Rattus norvegicus: one gene and its partners. The protein of the gene in region 3 purifies or fractionates together with the protein of the main gene of each other region. This does not show direct contact. Links are inferred from orthologs where the notes say so. Each region holds a gene or a part of one and is shown on either strand. Other genes may lie near its edges.

Evidence for each region.
Region 1: the proteins of Sf3a1 (region 3) and Phf5a purify together in Homo sapiens (affinity purification with mass spectrometry; 3 studies listed by BioGRID and IntAct, with this or other methods). This does not show direct contact. The link is inferred for Rattus norvegicus from reciprocal best matches to the Homo sapiens genes SF3A1 and PHF5A.
Region 2: the proteins of Sf3a1 (region 3) and Snrpd2 fractionate together in Homo sapiens (co-fractionation; 3 studies listed by BioGRID and IntAct, with this or other methods). This does not show direct contact. The link is inferred for Rattus norvegicus from reciprocal best matches to the Homo sapiens genes SF3A1 and SNRPD2.

The regions. Positions count from the first base shown.
Region 1 is NC_086025.1:115,261,290-115,266,718, reverse strand, and holds the start of Phf5a (PHD finger-like domain-containing protein 5A), read left to right. Parts: upstream 1-1,544; coding exon 1,545-1,596; intron 1,597-2,224; coding exon 2,225-2,248; intron 2,249-2,750; coding exon 2,751-2,917; intron 2,918-5,429. Other genes in the region: Aco2 (aconitate hydratase, mitochondrial precursor), read right to left, coding at 864-899.
Region 2 is NC_086019.1:87,924,655-87,930,293, reverse strand, and holds Snrpd2 (small nuclear ribonucleoprotein Sm D2), read right to left. Parts: upstream 3,886-5,639; 5' UTR 3,812-3,885; coding exon 3,810-3,811; intron 2,521-3,809; coding exon 2,341-2,520; intron 1,317-2,340; coding exon 1,142-1,316; 3' UTR 1,035-1,141; downstream 1-1,034. Other genes in the region: Qpctl (glutaminyl-peptide cyclotransferase-like protein), read left to right, coding at 4,510-4,719, 5,181-5,324. UniProt on the Homo sapiens protein: Plays a role in pre-mRNA splicing as a core component of the spliceosomal U1, U2, U4 and U5 small nuclear ribonucleoproteins (snRNPs), the building blocks of the spliceosome.
Region 3 is NC_086032.1:83,253,192-83,258,902, forward strand, and holds the start of Sf3a1 (splicing factor 3A subunit 1), read left to right. Parts: upstream 1-1,821; 5' UTR 1,822-1,911; coding exon 1,912-1,974; intron 1,975-2,496; coding exon 2,497-2,618; intron 2,619-5,711. Other genes in the region: Ccdc157 (coiled-coil domain-containing protein 157), read right to left, coding at 1,585-1,821. UniProt on the Homo sapiens protein: Component of the 17S U2 SnRNP complex of the spliceosome, a large ribonucleoprotein complex that removes introns from transcribed pre-mRNAs.

The DNA.
Region 1 (5,429 bases), on a different chromosome or scaffold from region 3:
AGTATCTGGAAAGCAACTAACTGTGACCTCAAAACACTTGATTCTGTATTCTGACAAATGCAAACGATCACACCCTGGTTCAGAAAGTTTTGTGACATTAGGCTGCCATGAACAAGAAGAAGAGAGGGCCTGCAGCGTCAAAGCTCAGGCTATGACACTTTAGTGACAGCATGAAAGCCACTACTTCGTCTATTTTTTTCCCAGCTTTTCCATCTATCGAGTTGGAAAAAAAGTTATCTGACTCTATGACTTCTGATCACATACTGTAACATTAGTAAACAGTCTTGACATCTAGTGTAAAGGTAAGAAGGCACTGTTATCGCGACTATTTATTAATGGTGGGGCCCAGAATACTCCTTCTTGCATCTATGACCCCGAGTGTCCTCGAAGGGATATATGGGATATAGCTGCTGCAGACTCCAGGCCCGGAAACCACGGATACATAAGGCGAGCAAGTCTATGCTACAGATGAGACGTGAAGGCTTCAAGAACTCGGCTTAGAGGAACCCACAACCACCGCGTCCCCCAATCACCTTGTCTTCACCTTGAGGAACAGAAAACCACCCTGGGGGAGCAGAGAATTCAGCCCTTAGAAAACAAGGAGTGCCTCCGCCCTTGACCAGGCTGCAGCTGCTTAGACTCAAGCTTCCCAGCGGGCGGGGACAGGGACTTGGAACTGACTGTGCCAGGGACGCCTTGACCTAGGACAAGGCAAGAACGGACAAGGGCGCTGGGCCTGCAACCGCGACAGGTGATCGAAAACTCAGCCCCGGTCGAGCCCGCCTCGCCTGACCTCGCCTACAGCCGCAGGCAAGGCAGGAGGCTCCCCGCCCCCGTAAACCCACAACTCTGAGCTCGCTCACCTGCAGCCGGGTGACCAGTAGGCTGTAAGGCGCCATTTTGTGCACTGACAAAGATGAGGTCGCGTGAAAGTGACGTGACAGCTGGCGCTCTTAAAGCATTGGGAAGGGGGCGTGGCTGATAGAGAGACGCGTCACCCTGGTGGTGGGGCCTTCCTCCCTAGGCCAGAGTCCAGAGAGCTCAGTGGGCGGGGCTTACATGACAAGAACCGGGCGTGGCAGGAAAAGCTGCGGAGGAACTGCCAGCTTGGCGTTCGGCGCAATGCTGTCACCTTTGCACTTGGGTAGTGGAAGCTAAAGCGGAGTCAGGAGTTCAAGGTCATCGTTCACTCCATGAAAGACAACACTCCCAAACCCACATACTTTGAGGAAGCATGCAAGAAGCCCTGGCCTCAAACTCCAACACAAGAAGCAACATATGTAGGATTTTTTTTATCCAAGAACAAATTTTAGTTTATGAGTTCAAATCTAGAAGAAAAAAGAATTTTATTCAAAACCTTTGGTGCACCTGCTAGGGCCTGGCGAGGAAACTCTCACGAGAGTCAGCGAGATTTGGTGCCCTCGAGGACAAAGGCTGACGGACAGCTTGATGGCCAATCACAGAGGAGTGGAAGTAGGAACGGTGTAGGTTAAAGGTCGGGCGGAAGTTCCCTACGCTTCCGGCCGCGGGCTTGGAAAAGAGTTATGGCTAAACATCATCCAGATTTGATTTTCTGCCGCAAGCAGGCTGGTGTAGGTGAGTTGGAGGCCTGCCCCCTTTTGTTTGGGTGGGATGGTATTAGAAAGTGGGGGACTTGGGACTTTCACCTTCTCTTTAGGGCTTTGGTTTGGAGGCTCCACGTTTCGCGCCTTACGGTCCCTGGGTATTCTAGAAGCGCGCACCCAGTTGTGGCTTCTTATAAGAGGTTAGGAACGCGCGTCTCCGAGCCTGAGGCAGACGGGAGCGTCTGTGCCAAGTCTGGAGAAGCCGTTCTAGATTGCTTTGGATTTTAGGGGGGTTTCCGGACAGCTTTTTTTTTTTTGACATGGCTTTGGTGTAAAGCATAATTTAGGGGCACTGGCCTGGAATGGTAGCTCATAATCCCAGCACCAGGGAGGCAGAAGGCTGGAAGATTGCTGTCAATTCGAAACTGGCCTGAGCTTAAAAGAAGTTCCAGGCTGACTCAAGCTACACAGTGGGATTCTGTGTCAAAAAAGTATAGGGTCGGGGACAATGGAGAAAGGAGAATAAGACGGCGATCCTTTACGCCTCGCTTTAGTCATTGCTACCTGCCCCATTCTCTGTACTCAGCTTGACAGAAAACTTTCCTGATACGTCACAACCTTAATTTTAACAACATGTTTTACCATCTTTAATCTTACAGCTATCGGAAGACTGTGTGAAAAATGTAAGCGGAACATGCCCCATCACACCTTGCCTCTATACTCTTTGAAGAGCCATCAATTCCAGAGGAACACAAAAAAAGCCTTAAATGGATATACCAGGCTGCAAAGAACACAGAATACCTGGCTGCAGCCAAAGACCTCCCCCCACCACCACCATCTTCCCACTTAAGCTTGCAATTTTTAATACTTCATATTTAGGTTTTAGGGAAAAAAAGAGTCTACTTTTGGACAGTAAGATTTGTCAGAGTAATGGGGACCTTCCCAGCCCAATGTGTGTGCAAAAAGGACATGCAGTTTGTTGACAACAACTACATAGATTTAAAAGCTCCCAGACAATATTCCAAACGCTTTGCATGCATTAGTTAACTGAGGTGAATACAAGATAAGGCTTATGCTGTCGAGATAGAAGAAGGTCCTAAAGTCACAGTTATTTCCCTCGTAGGGCAGAGGAAAGATCTTAGGGAAGTAATTGCTGTTGACTGTAACCCAGTTCTGTCTCTGCAGGTGATGGCAAATGTGTGATCTGCGATTCCTACGTGCGTCCCTGTACCCTGGTTCGCATATGTGATGAGTGTAACTATGGATCCTACCAGGGCCGCTGCGTGATCTGTGGAGGTCCCGGAGTCTCTGATGCCTACTATTGTAAAGAGTGCACCATTCAGGAGAAGGATGTGAGTATAGGCGGGCTTCCCACCTGGTCTTTCTTCCTTTACTTTGAACCATTTCGCCACCCGTGGCCATCTGTTCTGATCTGTGGAGATTGCAATGTTCAGCTAGTTATTTAGGTAATTTCTTGGAGATTGTGAGCCAAACTCAGTATGGCCTGATAAAGAGTTGTTACTCTGAATCCAGGGCAGATGAAGAGAAACAAGTCTTTATAAGTACCAAGTTTGGAGAACTTTTCTCTGGTCCAGTGAGTGTATGGGCATGTGCATGTGTAGCCATCAGAGGACAACCTGTGGAAGTCCATTCTCCCTTTATACTCTGGTCTGGGTGGTTGGATGCAAATTGTTAGGCTTGGCAAGTATGTTTCCCTGCTGTCTCAGATAGTTTTTTTTTTTGGAGCTGAGGACCAAACTCAGGGCCTTACGCTTGCTAAGCAAGCGCTCTACCACTGAGCCAAATCCCCAACCCCTCGGGTTTCTTATTGATGATATAATATGATTAAAAGCAGCTTCAGAAAGGGAAAAAGTTTACAACTCCAGGTTCCAGTCTGTCATCCAGTGAAGTTGTGGCAGGAACTGAAGCAAAGGCCATGGCAGATCACTGCTTACTGGCTTTCTCCCTTATGGTTTGCTCCGCCTGCTTTCTTACAGCCTCCAGTACCACCAGCCATGAGTAGCACTGCCCCCGATGGGCTGGGCTCTTCCCTGTCATTTATCAAGAAAATGTGCCACTGGTCAATCTAGTGGGTCTTTCTCAGTTGAGCTTTCCTCTTTTAAAATGACCCTGGTTTGTGTCGGACTGACATAAAGTTAGCCAGGATCCCTGCTGAGTCGTCTTGGCAGGTCTTTTTTATTCTTAGTCACATACAAGATCCTATGTCTGTGTACTAACGAGGACATAGGCGGGGTGTAGGAGGCACTCAGTGGTTCTGCCTATCTTTGTCTTCCTCAAAAACATAAGTGTCAGTGTGTCTCAAAATGGCCTGGAACTGAAGATCCTCCTGCTTCAGCTTTCTGAGTGCAGACATTACACCCACCACACAGTAGTTCTCGTTGGGCAGGGATGTGGGGTGTAGCTGCTACTGGGGTAGTTTTGTTCTGTGGCCTAGGCCCGTCTTGTGCTCATTATGTAGTCCAGGCCTCAAACTCACAGCAGTCCTCCTGCCTCAGCCAAACTCTTAGGTAATAGGATTACTTGCCCAACTTGGTTCTCTTAAATCCTCTGTGGTAAAGGACAGTTTAGGTAGTTGTGGTGGCCAAGTTGTGTTAGGGATAGTTATAGGTGACACCAGCTTTAAGTAAAAAGAATGGTGTCAGGTAGTGAATTGGTTGCTGAGCTTATGTTTGTGTTTCTTGTCTGTGTGGTGTGCAGAGGAAATGTATAAGTAGCTTCGTTCCCTGAGCAAGGTTCAGTGAGGGTTTGTAGACAAGGCTCTGTTCCCTGAGCAGGGTTCATTGAGGGCTTTGTAAATAAGGCTATAAGCAAGTTTAACCCTGTTCTTAGAACACTACTAGCAACAAGGCATTGTTTCTCTTGTGACAGAATAGAAATGAGTAGAGTATAGTCTCACTGGACTAATTGAAGATGCTGGAGTACCTAAGCAAAATAAGGCAGCTGAGCATGGTGGTGCATGCCTTTAATTCCAGTACCTGGGAGGCAGAGGCAGGCAAATCCTATGACTGGTTGTACAGAGCAAATTCAAGGACAGCCAGGGCTACACAAAAACCCTGTCTGCGCCCCCCCCCCCCAGAAAAAGGCAGAATATAGCCCTTTAAATTCCCATGAATAGTGTAGGTAGCTTGTAGATGTAATCACTTATACCATGTAAGTAGAGGTTATTGTTTTTCTAACCTGTCCCAGGCTGTCTGACTACACCTTGTCTCCACATTACACCATGTTGTCCTTTCCTGAGTCCTTGGTGTATGCTCATGTTGAAGAGAACTAGACCAGCCATCCCAGCACTTTACATTTGAATACGACTCACCACCAGTAACACAAGAGCCAGTTGGAACTTGGGGAGGGGTGTGTGTTCTGTATGGTGCAGAGGATGGTGATATATAAATGCTGCACTCAGTGTTATGAATGACTATAATAAAGAAAAGTTAAGGGAGTTCTGTAACACATCCTCAAGTCAGGGCCTCACCACATCCAGCAGAACTTGCCTGGGAAGCCACACTTAGGCATTTAGCTAGGGTTCCCAATTGGGAGCTTTTTCCCCAAGGGTGTCAGGCTTCTCTTACTCCCTGTAGGCATTTTTATACACAGGATGGACCTATTGGAAGTGGTTTTGCTGCCTTGGTGGTCTCGAGGCTTCAGTGTTCTGTTTAATTTGTTCTGTCTTTTTATCTTTGTGGGCGTGTGGTATCAAGAGGATAACTTGCCTGGAGTTTCTTCTTTTCCCTCACTGGCAAGTGCTTTCACCCACTGAGCCGTCTTGTCAGGCGAAGCTGCAGTAAACCCTTACTGCTTGGTGGTTTTCCCTGTTGGTGTTAGAGAGCACAGCGGGCATCCTGACCC
Region 2 (5,639 bases), on a different chromosome or scaffold from region 3:
AACTGGGGAGGTGGCTCAGTGGTTAGAGGAGCATTTGCTATATAAGCAAGAGACCCTGAATTCGAATCTGTAGCATGATGTGGAGACAGGATTACTGGAGGTTGCTGGGTGCCAGCCTAGTTCTGTTCAATGAGACTCTGTCAAGGGGATCAAAGGAGTGTCAGACGACACCTAACACTGTCCTTGTGCATGTATACAAGTGAATGGAGGGCTGCGGAGAGCTTGCCAAGCATGAGACCCTAGTCTCAGTCCCCAGGACCACAAAAGAACGAAGAGAGAAGAGAGGGTGGGAGAGATCTAGAGCCCACAGCAGAGCTGTTCTGGCAGTTGCTCAGGAACGTGTGCCTGAACAACCAAGCACGGCAGTTTTCTCTGCTGCAGGCTTCACAGCTCTGCACAGGGGCTTACCGGCTACCACTGACTGTGACTGCCACAGTTCAGGAGGACAGCTAAGCTAGAGGGTGGTGGCTCACGCCTTTAATCGCAGCACCCGGGAGGCAAAGGCAGGTGGAATCTCTGAGTTTGAGGACAGCCTGGTCTACAGAGTGAGTTCCAAAGCACTCGCTGCTCTTGTTTCCTTCCCAGCACCCACATGGCTGCTCACACGTAACTAGGGGAGTCCAACCCTCCTCCCGGGCCCCCTATGGGCACAGAGAACAGACGTATCCAGACCAGACACCCATACTGCTTTGTATGCATTTAAGGAGGGCAGATAATGCTGACCTCTAGCCCAGATCTCCTGAATTTCGTGTTTAGAATTACCTGAGAGGGCAGGGACAGAGATACAGATGGACAGAGTAGTGGGTAGGACAGAGGGCCCTGTGTACAGTCCAGAAAACAGCAAGGTCCTTCAACAAGCCCCTTAAGTAGGACCCCCTTTCTCACCTGTATCCGCACCCCGCCACACAATACACAAAAGTCAAATTTGGCGGTCTACTTGGCAGTCAGGGCAGTCATATGCCCCAGCACTCAGAGGCCCTGTCCTAGTGCCTCTCTCTCTAAGACCCAAGGGCAGAGAAGACCACTAGAAAACATAAAAAACAAAAAGCACAGGGTTTTATTTCTAGCTCATTGGGCAGGGCTCTGCGGGACTTGGCTGGGCAGGGAGCAGGCTCTCAGCGGGCTGAGGCTGGCCTCTAGTTTACTTGCCAGCGATGAGCGGGTTCCGCAGCACCACAATGACTGAGTCCCCGCGCAGGAACATCTTGGAGATGTAGCGGTCCTTGTTGACAGGCTTGGACTTCTTCTTGCCCTTGCCGCTCTTGGGGACCTCAGTCCACATCTCCTTCACATTTTCCAGCACCATGTTGCAGTGCCTGATGGGGTAAAGGGTGGAGGAAAAAGCCAGAGTGAGGGGGACATTCTGAATGTGTGAACCCTCCAGCAGCAGGCATAGGGACGGAGTTCAGGTTCCACAGTGGGGATGGGCAGGCTTCAAGGTGTGATCTCAGCCCCATCTTAAGTGTCCCTTCTGTGCCTCAGTTTCCCCCTTCTTGAAATGGAAACAGTCTACTTCATGGGGCTGATGTGAAGATTGGATGAAAGAAGCACTTAGGACCCCGGTACACAGTAAAGGTCACCAAAATGGCCCTGGCTCTGCAGTTAACTCTAACTCTGAGAGAAGCATTAGCTCCCTCCAAACCTTAAGTTCTGGGGTTAGACATGGTTCCCAACACGTGCACTCCAGTGCCTCATGGCCCTGTCCTCATGCAGGTGGACATGTGCTCACACTTGGATCAGTTCATTCCACGAATGCTTGCTTGAGGACAGTGACGATGAGCAAAGTACAATGCCAGATGTGTAGGACCACGTCACAAGGCAACTTCCATGCTAACTAAAACAAGGCAGGAGGGTATGCTTCGCCCCTGTAATCCTAGCGCTTGGGAGATGGTAGCAAGAGGATCAGAAGCATAAGGTTAGCCTCTGCTACATCTGTAGCCAGCCCAGGCTACATAGTTAAAGACCCTGCCTCAAAACAAACTAGAAAGCAGTAGAAGATATTTGACATTGATGTCTGGCCTACAGAGGAACAAACCAAACATCTTAATTCCTGTCCCTCCTCCTGCCGGGGATCTGATGACTTCTGAAGGTATTAGACATGTCCACAGTACACAGACAGACTCACCCGCAGACAAAACGCCCAAACACATAAGATAAAAAAAAAAAAGCCAAGCACCCCCACTTTCTAATTTTTTGAGCTAGCTGGGTCTTGCCCTGTGACCCTGGCTGGCTCCAACTGACAGTGATCCCCTTGAGTGCTGAGACTAAAGGCACTTTGTCACCTTGCCCACCTTATTACGACAATTCTTCTCAAATGACCTTCCCCAAGACAATGCCCACCTGTCAAAGGCCTTCACCCGGCCCAGGAGCTTCTTGTTGTTTCGACAGTTAATGAGCACTTGCGTGTTGTTTTTGACCGACTGTGTGAGCACCGAGAGGGGACCTGTGTTGAATTCCTCCTCCTCCCGCTTCTGCAGCTCCTCTGGGGTCATCTCACTCTTGGGTTTATTGAGGAGACTCCTGGATAGAGAACCCGGGGGGTGAGACGGGTTCAGGTTGGAAGCATAAGTGACCAAAGCTACATTGTCCAGTGTCTCCCCAGCCTGGCCCCCAAATGCCCTTCCTGGTACAGTCTTCTCTGGAGGCAGGAGAGACATTTCCAAGTTAGCCTGCTCCAGCTCATTAACCAAACCTCGTCCAGCCACTGTTGACCTTGAATTCTCAATTCTCCTGACTCCATCACCCAAGGTCTGAGATTACAGGGGGCTCACCATCATGCCTGGCACCTGATTCTTTCAAACCTCACTCTGTCGTCTTATCTTGTCATCTGCTTCCATGATATGTCCAAAAATTTGGCCATTTCTCTTCCATCCCACCCCACAACAGTGTCTCCCTGTATAAATAGACCTGCCCCTGGAACTCAGACTTGTCTGTCTCTGCCTCCAGGATACTGGGGTTACATCTAGTCTGTGTGTGGCTGAGGACCAAACCCAGGGCCCACAGTAGGTAAGTACTCTGTCCACTAAGCTAAATCCCCAGCCCAAGTATTGGGCTTTCAATGCCCAATACTTCTGTGCTACCTACTGGTGTTATTTCTTTCCTACTCAATTCTCCATTCACACTCCTGATCATCTAAGACATACTGTATGTACTTGTTTATTACTCTATGGCTTTCCTATTGGATTCTTTTTATAAGCCCTGAGAGATTTTTTTTCCTTGGTAGCAAGGACCTTCTATTTACCATGTGTCTAACTTACAGTCTACATAATATCCGCTCAATGAATAAACCATTGTAGTAGCCTGCTACTCTGACAATCTCTAATTAGGTTCAAAAGTCCTAATTTATCCTGGTTAAGTCCCATACGTCTCTATTTACTATTTCTAATAGTACTTCCTTCTCCGCCAAGCTCTTCATCCATTAAGACCACTTCTATATAAAATTACTATTACTTTTGTAAGCGGACACGCTATGAAGCTGGTCAAGGCTGACCACCAACTAGCGATACTCCTGACTCAGCCTCTCTAGGCTTGGGATTCTAGGCATGTGCCATCAGACTCAGTTTTTCCTTTACGGTTCATTTCCGCAAGCCTCGGTACCTAGAAGAGTCTTACACCCATTATGGAATAAAGCTGTCCCCTCTCCGGAACTCAAGAACCGAGGCCCCATGCCCGTTCTCAAATCCCTCAGAAGACATTATTTTTGCCCGAGAAACTCTACCCTCAGCTATGAGCACCCCATTTCGATTGTTATTTAGCTAAACCGTCCCCCTCCATCTTCGTGTCCCCGCCGAAGCCCGTCCCGGCCTCACATGGTGAAGGTTTCGCTAGCAGATCACTCCCGCCTCCAAGCGCGTTGCTTTAGCCTTTGGAGCACAGCAAGAGAAGGGCGGGACTTCCGTCTCCTGCGGCTGACTTCCGTCGACGCCTGCGCAATCACGACTGTGGGCGTGCCCTGTTACCATAGTGACTCTAAGGCTACGCTCTCCTGCAGAAAATGCCTATAGGGAGGATTTGAAGCCTCTGAGGATCACAATAGGTTGTCTGCTCATGCGGAAAATAAAACGGGGTCTGACTGAAATTGTTTTCCCGCCTAACTGTCTAGTTGGGAGAAGGAAAACGCAACCCGGTTTCCAAAATACCCGCCGACAATTTTCTTGAGGGCATGGCTTCAGGCAAACCAATCGGTTCCTTGTTTTAGGGATGGATGCCGCCCCTTTTTCCTTGAACCACAGTTTCTTGATCGACTTCCGTAAGGGGCGTGGCCCCGCGCCGGGGAAGGTTTCGTATATTCGGACACAGCTCATTGCCTGTTTCTCTCCCGTGGGGGCGGGCCTTAAGGTTTCCGCGCTCCCTTTTGGGTGGTGCGGCGCTTAGGAGAGCCAATCGCAATCGATTGGGGGAGGACGCAGTTACTGTGTTTCTTTATTGGCATTTGTAACCTCCGAGAGGCGAATCTTGGCCTAAACTCAAACCACCCTGCGGGGGGATTGGTTTCAGGGCAAAGCTGCCATGAGTCCGGCCAGCCGCGGGCGGTCTCGGCAGCGGCTCGGGGATCGCGGCCTCATGAAACCACCCTCACTTTCCAAGCGCCGTCTTCTGCCGCGGGTGCAGCTCCTGCCCCTGCTGCTGCTGGCGCTGGCCCTGGGCTTGGCTTTTTATATCGTCTGGAATAGCTGGCACCCTGGGGTTGAGGAGGTATCACGGAGCCGGGATCTGCGGGTAAGCCTTGGCTGGGGCCCAGCCAGCGTCATTTCCCTCTTTCCCTTCATATTGAGTCTCGGGTTAGCGTGGCCTTATCGTTTAGCCCTTGCCGCCTGTGCTATTTCTTTATCCATCACTTGAGCGTATGCCCCTTCCCAACAAAATAAGGTTTCAGGCTTGTTTTATGATTAGACCCCTCTGAAGAGGATGCATCCGCATAGAAACACTGGTAGATCTGAGCTCTGTGCCCAAACCATTTATTTAGAAGTCTCCATCACCCGTTTGCAATTTCTTCGTCAGGACTGCAGTAGGCTGGATCAGATTTGCTTTGAAGATTTCTCCCAATCTAGGAAATCTTTGGATGCTGGAGACTGCATCACCAAGAAGAATCAGCATTCCTAGTGGGCAACCGCGTCCGGGATAAGTTGGGAATGGGATCTTTTTCATTTTTCTTTCCCCCATCCCATTTCCCAACCAAGGTCCCGCTGATCGGAAGCCTTTCAGAAGCCAAGCTGCGGCTTGTGGTAGGGCAGCTGGATCCACAGCGTCTCTGGGGAACTTTTCTGCGTCCCTTGTTGATTGTACGACCCCCAGGTAGTCCTGGCAATCTCCAAGTGAGAAAGGTAAAGGGTTTTATTTTCAACCCCCAACTTCCTTTCCCCAGTCTGTCAGGAAATGGAACTCAGGCACCAAAGATCCCAAAACAGCCAGGAGGCAGACTAGGGATCTGATGGGGGTGGGGGGCAGGGATGGGGAGTGTGTGCGTGTGTTGGGGGTGTGTGTGGGGGAGTAGTGGTGGTGGGTGAACCAGACTAGATTTCTTGGTGGTGCACAAATCCCACACTATACGACCCCCACCAAACTTTTACCCTATACTAGGCAGAAGCAATGTACTGTCTAGTGAGATCAGAACTGATATGATCTCCATTATCAGATGA
Region 3 (5,711 bases):
CATTAAAGCCCATGCCCACAGTGGCACACCTACTCTAACAAGGCAACACCTACTCCATCCAACAAGGCCACACACACTTCCTAATAGTGCCACTCCCTGGGCAAAGCATATACAAACCATCACATTCCACTCCCTGACTCCCATAGGCTTGTTCAAACATATGGGAACCATACCTAAATATAGCATAATGCAAAATACATTTAGTCCAACATCAAGAGTCCCTATACTGTACAGCACTCTCAACCATGTTAAAAAAAGAAAGGTCCAAAGTTCAAAGTTTCTTCTAAGATTCAAGCAGGTTTTTTTAACTGTAATCCCATATAAAGTAAAAAATACTGGACCGAAGCAAGATAGAAAACCAGTTGGGCAAACTCCAAAACCCATGTCTCCAGGTCCAATGCCAGAGCATCCTTCAGATCTCTAGCTCCTTTCACCCTTGTTGAGTGCTGTTGGCCCATGTGGCCCTCAATGGCAGCACACTTCATTCTCTTGGGCTGGTTCCACTGTTAGCAGCTTTTCTCAGCAGGTAACTGAGAAAAGGACTCTGGCATCTCTAACAGCTTGGGGTCTCCAAGGCAACTTCAACTTTACAGCTTCTTATTCCAATGTATGGGGTCCACAGAACATCTTCTGGGCTCCTCCAAAGGGCTCGGGTCACCTCTCCAGCTCTGCCCTCCGTAGCACTCTAGGCTCTGGTTGACTCCACTCCCCTGCTGCTGCTGTTCCTGGTGACCAGCCCATGGTACTGGCATCTCCAATATACTGGAGTCTTCCATAGCAACTAGGCTTCACCAATAGCCTCTCATAGGCTCTCCTCATGGTCTCAAGCCTCAACTACTTTGGATGACTTCCTCAGTCCTGGGCCATCAACTGTAACTGCATCTTCACCAATGGCCTTCCTTGGCTCTCACAGTGCCAAGCCTCAGCTGCTCTTCATGACCCCTTCACGTCTTCAAAACCAGTAGTACCCTGGATGACTCTTACACATTATTAAGTACAGCTTCTTTGTGCTCTCAGAAAACACTTCCCAGAAGATTTCACCTCAGTGATTCTGGTCTCTTCTTAATCCCTACTAATTTCTTAGCTCCAGATAAGAAGCATCAATTGTCCCAGTAACCCCTTCTATTCTTGACTCTAAAGTTAAGGCCATGTGGTAAAGCTGTTGAATTCTGCTGCCTGCTGGGGCTGGCCGCCCTTTATTCTATTACCAGCTTTCTGTTTTTCAACTCCCTCACTGCCTACCCTTGACTGTCCTGCAATTTGCTCAGTAGATTGACCTTGAACTCAGAGATCTGTATAGCTTTGTCTCCTGAGACTAAAAAATGTTAGCACCATGTCCTGGGCTCTGCAAGGAGGTATCAGGAGGAGGTAATGCTGAACCGAAAAACAGGTCTAAAGGTGTAGTTAAGTGGGGCTTTATGGCAACGGGTCTAATGGGAGAAGAATTCTTCAAAATGACAGGCCAAACAGAAAACAAAACGAAGGCAGGGGTTCGGGGTGTAGGGGTTAGGGGGGTTGCTGGGGTTACAGAGGAACCGGCCAGGGTCGGGAGGGGAGTTCAGCAAATGATGTAGAATGGCTTACCTGTCTCCGGCGTCGCAGCCTCAGCTCTGTGTCTGGCAAGCTCACAGAACTTCCTCCGGAGCGCCTGCGGCTCCAGGGATCCCTCGAAACTCTAAAGCAGGGCGCCCAGGACGCTGCCATAGCAACGGCGTACCGTGCCATCGTGCACGCGGGGCGGGGCTGGAAGTGAGACACGGCGAGGGGGCGGGGCCGGAAGTGCCTCCGCGGCTTTTCTCTGGGTCGTCGCCATCTTGCCATTGAGTTGGAGACTTCGTGTGGTGAGCTTAACCTTGTCGCCGTACCGGTTGTCCACACCGAGGCGGACTGGCAGCCCTGAGCGTCGCAGTCATGCAGGCCGGACCCGTGCAGGCGGTACCCCCGCCGCCGCCAGTAGTCACTGAGCCCAAACAGGTACCGTGCCCCGTGCTCCTCCGCCTGCAGTCCTGTTGTAGGCCTCGTTCCTCCACTCCCGCGCGGGCGCTGTGGCACTTCTGCTGGAAGCACAGGCCACCCTGAAGGACTTGGTGGGACTGCAAGTCCCAGGAGTCAGCGCGCCGCGTTGCCTTCTGGTCTCAAAAAGATTTCCCTAAACCGGACTTTTCAAAACTAGCCTGCGGACTTGAGCCTCGGCTTCCCCTGGGGGCTTATTTGAACCACGAAACCTCCATTCTAAGGAGGAGAGCCAAGAAAGCCATTCTTTTCCCTAGATTAGGAATGGTTGTATAAATACCGTATGGTTAAGAAAGCTTGCTTTGTTTTTAACTGCTTCCCAATGCTAGCTTCTTGGATGCTAACCCAAGAGAGTCTGCAGTCTGCAGGACACAGTCCTGTCAGTGGTATCATGGAGAAACGCTGAGGGCTGGTGTAGTTTTTATGATCTCCTAATCCAAGCCAGGGACTTGAAGACCTTACTCCCTTTTTCTGTTTTCACAGCCAAATGAAGAAGAAGCATCATCAAAGGAGGATTCCACCCCTTCCAAGCCAGTGGTGGGGATTATTTACCCTCCTCCAGAGGTCAGGAATATCGTCGACAAGACCGCCAGTTTTGTGGCCAGGTAACAGCTGCTGCTGCACAGTGGGTCAGGGGAATTGTAGTATAAAGGGCTTTTGAATCGGGCACCATGGGGTGTTTTAGAGGCTCTAGCTTAGGCTTCCAAAACCACAGTAGAGCAGTGAGGTAGGCGATAGACAGGACTGGTATCATTGACATACCATGATAGTAATCACAGTGAAAGCCCCATCTAGCTGTATATTTCTGCTTCCAAAACAAATCTGAGGAATTCCTGGTAGCACCTTTGTGACTGATACTGTGTGTATGCTGTGTGTTTGAGCTGCTGGCCTGAGGAAATGAGTTGATTTTTCTCATTGTGAAAGGGCTACTTTCCACAGAGACTCAAATGATCGGTTACAGATGAGCTAAGAGCAAGCTGTTAAAACTGGTCAGGATTTCTCTCAGCCTCTTCATCCCACACACTTCTACATCCTTGGATGCTATTTTCTGAGGACCACTTGACTCCCAACGGTCAACACGTCCCCTGACTTAGGGCATTTATAGAGAGAGAGTATTCTTTTGGCAACCAGCATCGATATCCAGTCTGCAGAGTTTGGTTTGTCCTTAGAATCCTTAAAAAAGAAAAATCCTATTGCCACACTTAAAAATGAGGTGATCTCACCAGCAGTCTGGATTTCTGTCTTTTCTTGAACCAGACTGCAATGTTTGGTTCCAAACTTCCTAATAAAGTGAAGCACCTCTCTAATAAAGATTCCGATTGATATATTTTCCCATCACTGGACAGGCTTTAATTACCTTGGATTTTCACTTAAAAGATGCCCTAAGATAGGGCATTGAGTGTTGTGTGTGATTGGCTAGTATTTCACAGCAACCCTTTTCCTAATAATAATGCATAAGGAATAAGTGCAGTCTTACTGTGAGGGCAACTCCTGCCCGCTGTTGTCACCGTTCACCGTTCATTAGTCCTTTGCCCTTGGCACCCGTTTTTAAATACGGTAATAACACAAGTACTGTCATGTCCCCATTCTCTTTGCATGCTAAACTGTAAACATTTCCTAATTACCTTTTCCTCCTGCTGTATGCTTTCTATGGCGAGGGTGCAGGGTGTCCAGGCTGTCTTCTCTTTGAGACTGTTTCCAGTGTTTCCACTTGGTCAGTGAAGCTGTACGAGGAGTTTGAACATTACCTTTCCCTCTTAGATAGTTTCTTTAGAAGAAAACTGAAACAATAGTGATTAGGAGAACATGGAAAGCTTCAGGGGTTGGGGAGACAGCTTAGTTCATTCAAGTTCCTGTCACAAGAGTAAACAAGAGCTTGAGTTTGGATCCCATGGTGTATAACCCACAGATACCCATGTTAAAGCAAGATTGAGCAATGGTTACATCTGGTAACCTCAGTACTGGAGAATAGAGACTGACAGATTCCTGGAGCTCAGTGGCCAGCAAATTGCTGTGCTTCATATTAACTAAGGTGGGGCCAGTGTATTCATGTATTCTGAAGGCAGGAGCAGGTTGATCTCTGTGCGTTTCGGGCCACCCTAGTCTACACAGCATTCTGATGAGCCAGGGATGCATGGACCCTATCTAAAATAAATAGGTAGATAAATCTAAATAAGGCAGGAAGTGATTGGGGAAGACAATGGACATGAGTATCTGGCCTCTGGGTATGGGTGCACATAAGTGTGCACTTAGAAACATCTCAGTTTCCCAAGTAGCTTTCTGATAATTGTGTCATCCTTTGCCTCCACAGCAAAAAAAAAAAAAAAAAGACTGACCAAGTTCTCTTAAAAATAAATACTTGTTACTGGACATAGTGATACATACCTGTAATCTTGGTGCTAGCAAGGAATGTTAGAGAGACTAGCCTGGCTACATGGTGGGCTCTATTTTAATGAAGGGAAATGGGAGCTGGAGAAGTGGCTCAGAAGTTAAGACCACTTTCTGCTCCTACATAGGACCTGAGTTTGGCTCCCAGGACCCATGTCAGGTAACTCACAGCTACAGAGTCTGAATACCTGCATGCATGCCCTTTAATATGCACTCGTGCACACAGAGTCAATTTTCTTTTTTTTTTTTTTTTAAGAAAAGGAAAATGAAGTGGATACCTTCAAGTTCCATAATGTGTGAGTTTAAGGCCAGCCTAGGCTTGTGAGTTTTTTATCAAGGCTGAAAAAAAATAAATGGGTTGATTGTGTAGCTTAGTGGTAGAGTGAGTATATGTCTCCATGTATAGGACATGAGTTCTGTTTCTAGTAGTGTAAACATCTCACCATGTTTCCAGATGGGTTTTTATCCTTGGTGATCATTTTTGTAGGAATTCTGAAATCTGACCTTGAGATGGCTCAATGGGGTAATGTTTGCAACACAAGTAAAGGTAGGCCACTCCTCAGAGCTTGCTGATTGGCCGGCTTGCTAACATAACCATAGTGGTGAGCTCCAGGTTCAGTGCAAGACCCTGCATCAAAGAATGAGAATGACAGTGATAGAGGAGGGTACTTACTCAGTGTTGGCCTCTGGTCTCCACGTGACCTGACCATAAACATGTGCATGTTCTTCCCCTACCTTCTCATGCTTTACAGTGAAGGGACAGGTCACAATCTTGGTCTTGGAGAGAGCCGGTATTCAGGTCTCTGCTAGGCCACATGCTCAGGAGGCAGGCAGTGGGTGTCTGCAGCCAAGTCTGACCGAGTAAAAGGAGCATTTTCTCTGTAGATGAAATTACCTTCAAAAGGCTCTGCCAGCTGGACTACATGACAGTCAGGCTCTTCTGCTGAAATCTGTTTCTTGTGTTGGAGGAGCTAATTCTAAAATTAACAGGAAGCCAACTTAGAGCGCTGGAATTTCTTGGAATAAGTACATCTGCCTTTGCATGTCTTTTTAAGCGTTCCCTGATGTGTAGAGACCCATGGCTTAGGAGGCAGTACTGCAAGAGACAACCAGACCTATTTTTCTAGAAGCCAGTAGTCTCCATGGGCATTTTCCAGGCATGGTGACCTGATCTGGCAGGACCCAAATCTGTATCCATCCTGTATATGCATGATGTGCATTACATAGGAGGTAGGAAAATGCTTCTTTCCAAAGCATGAGGTTCTGCTTGGACTAATACACAGTCAAATTGAGACCTCATGGTATTAGTC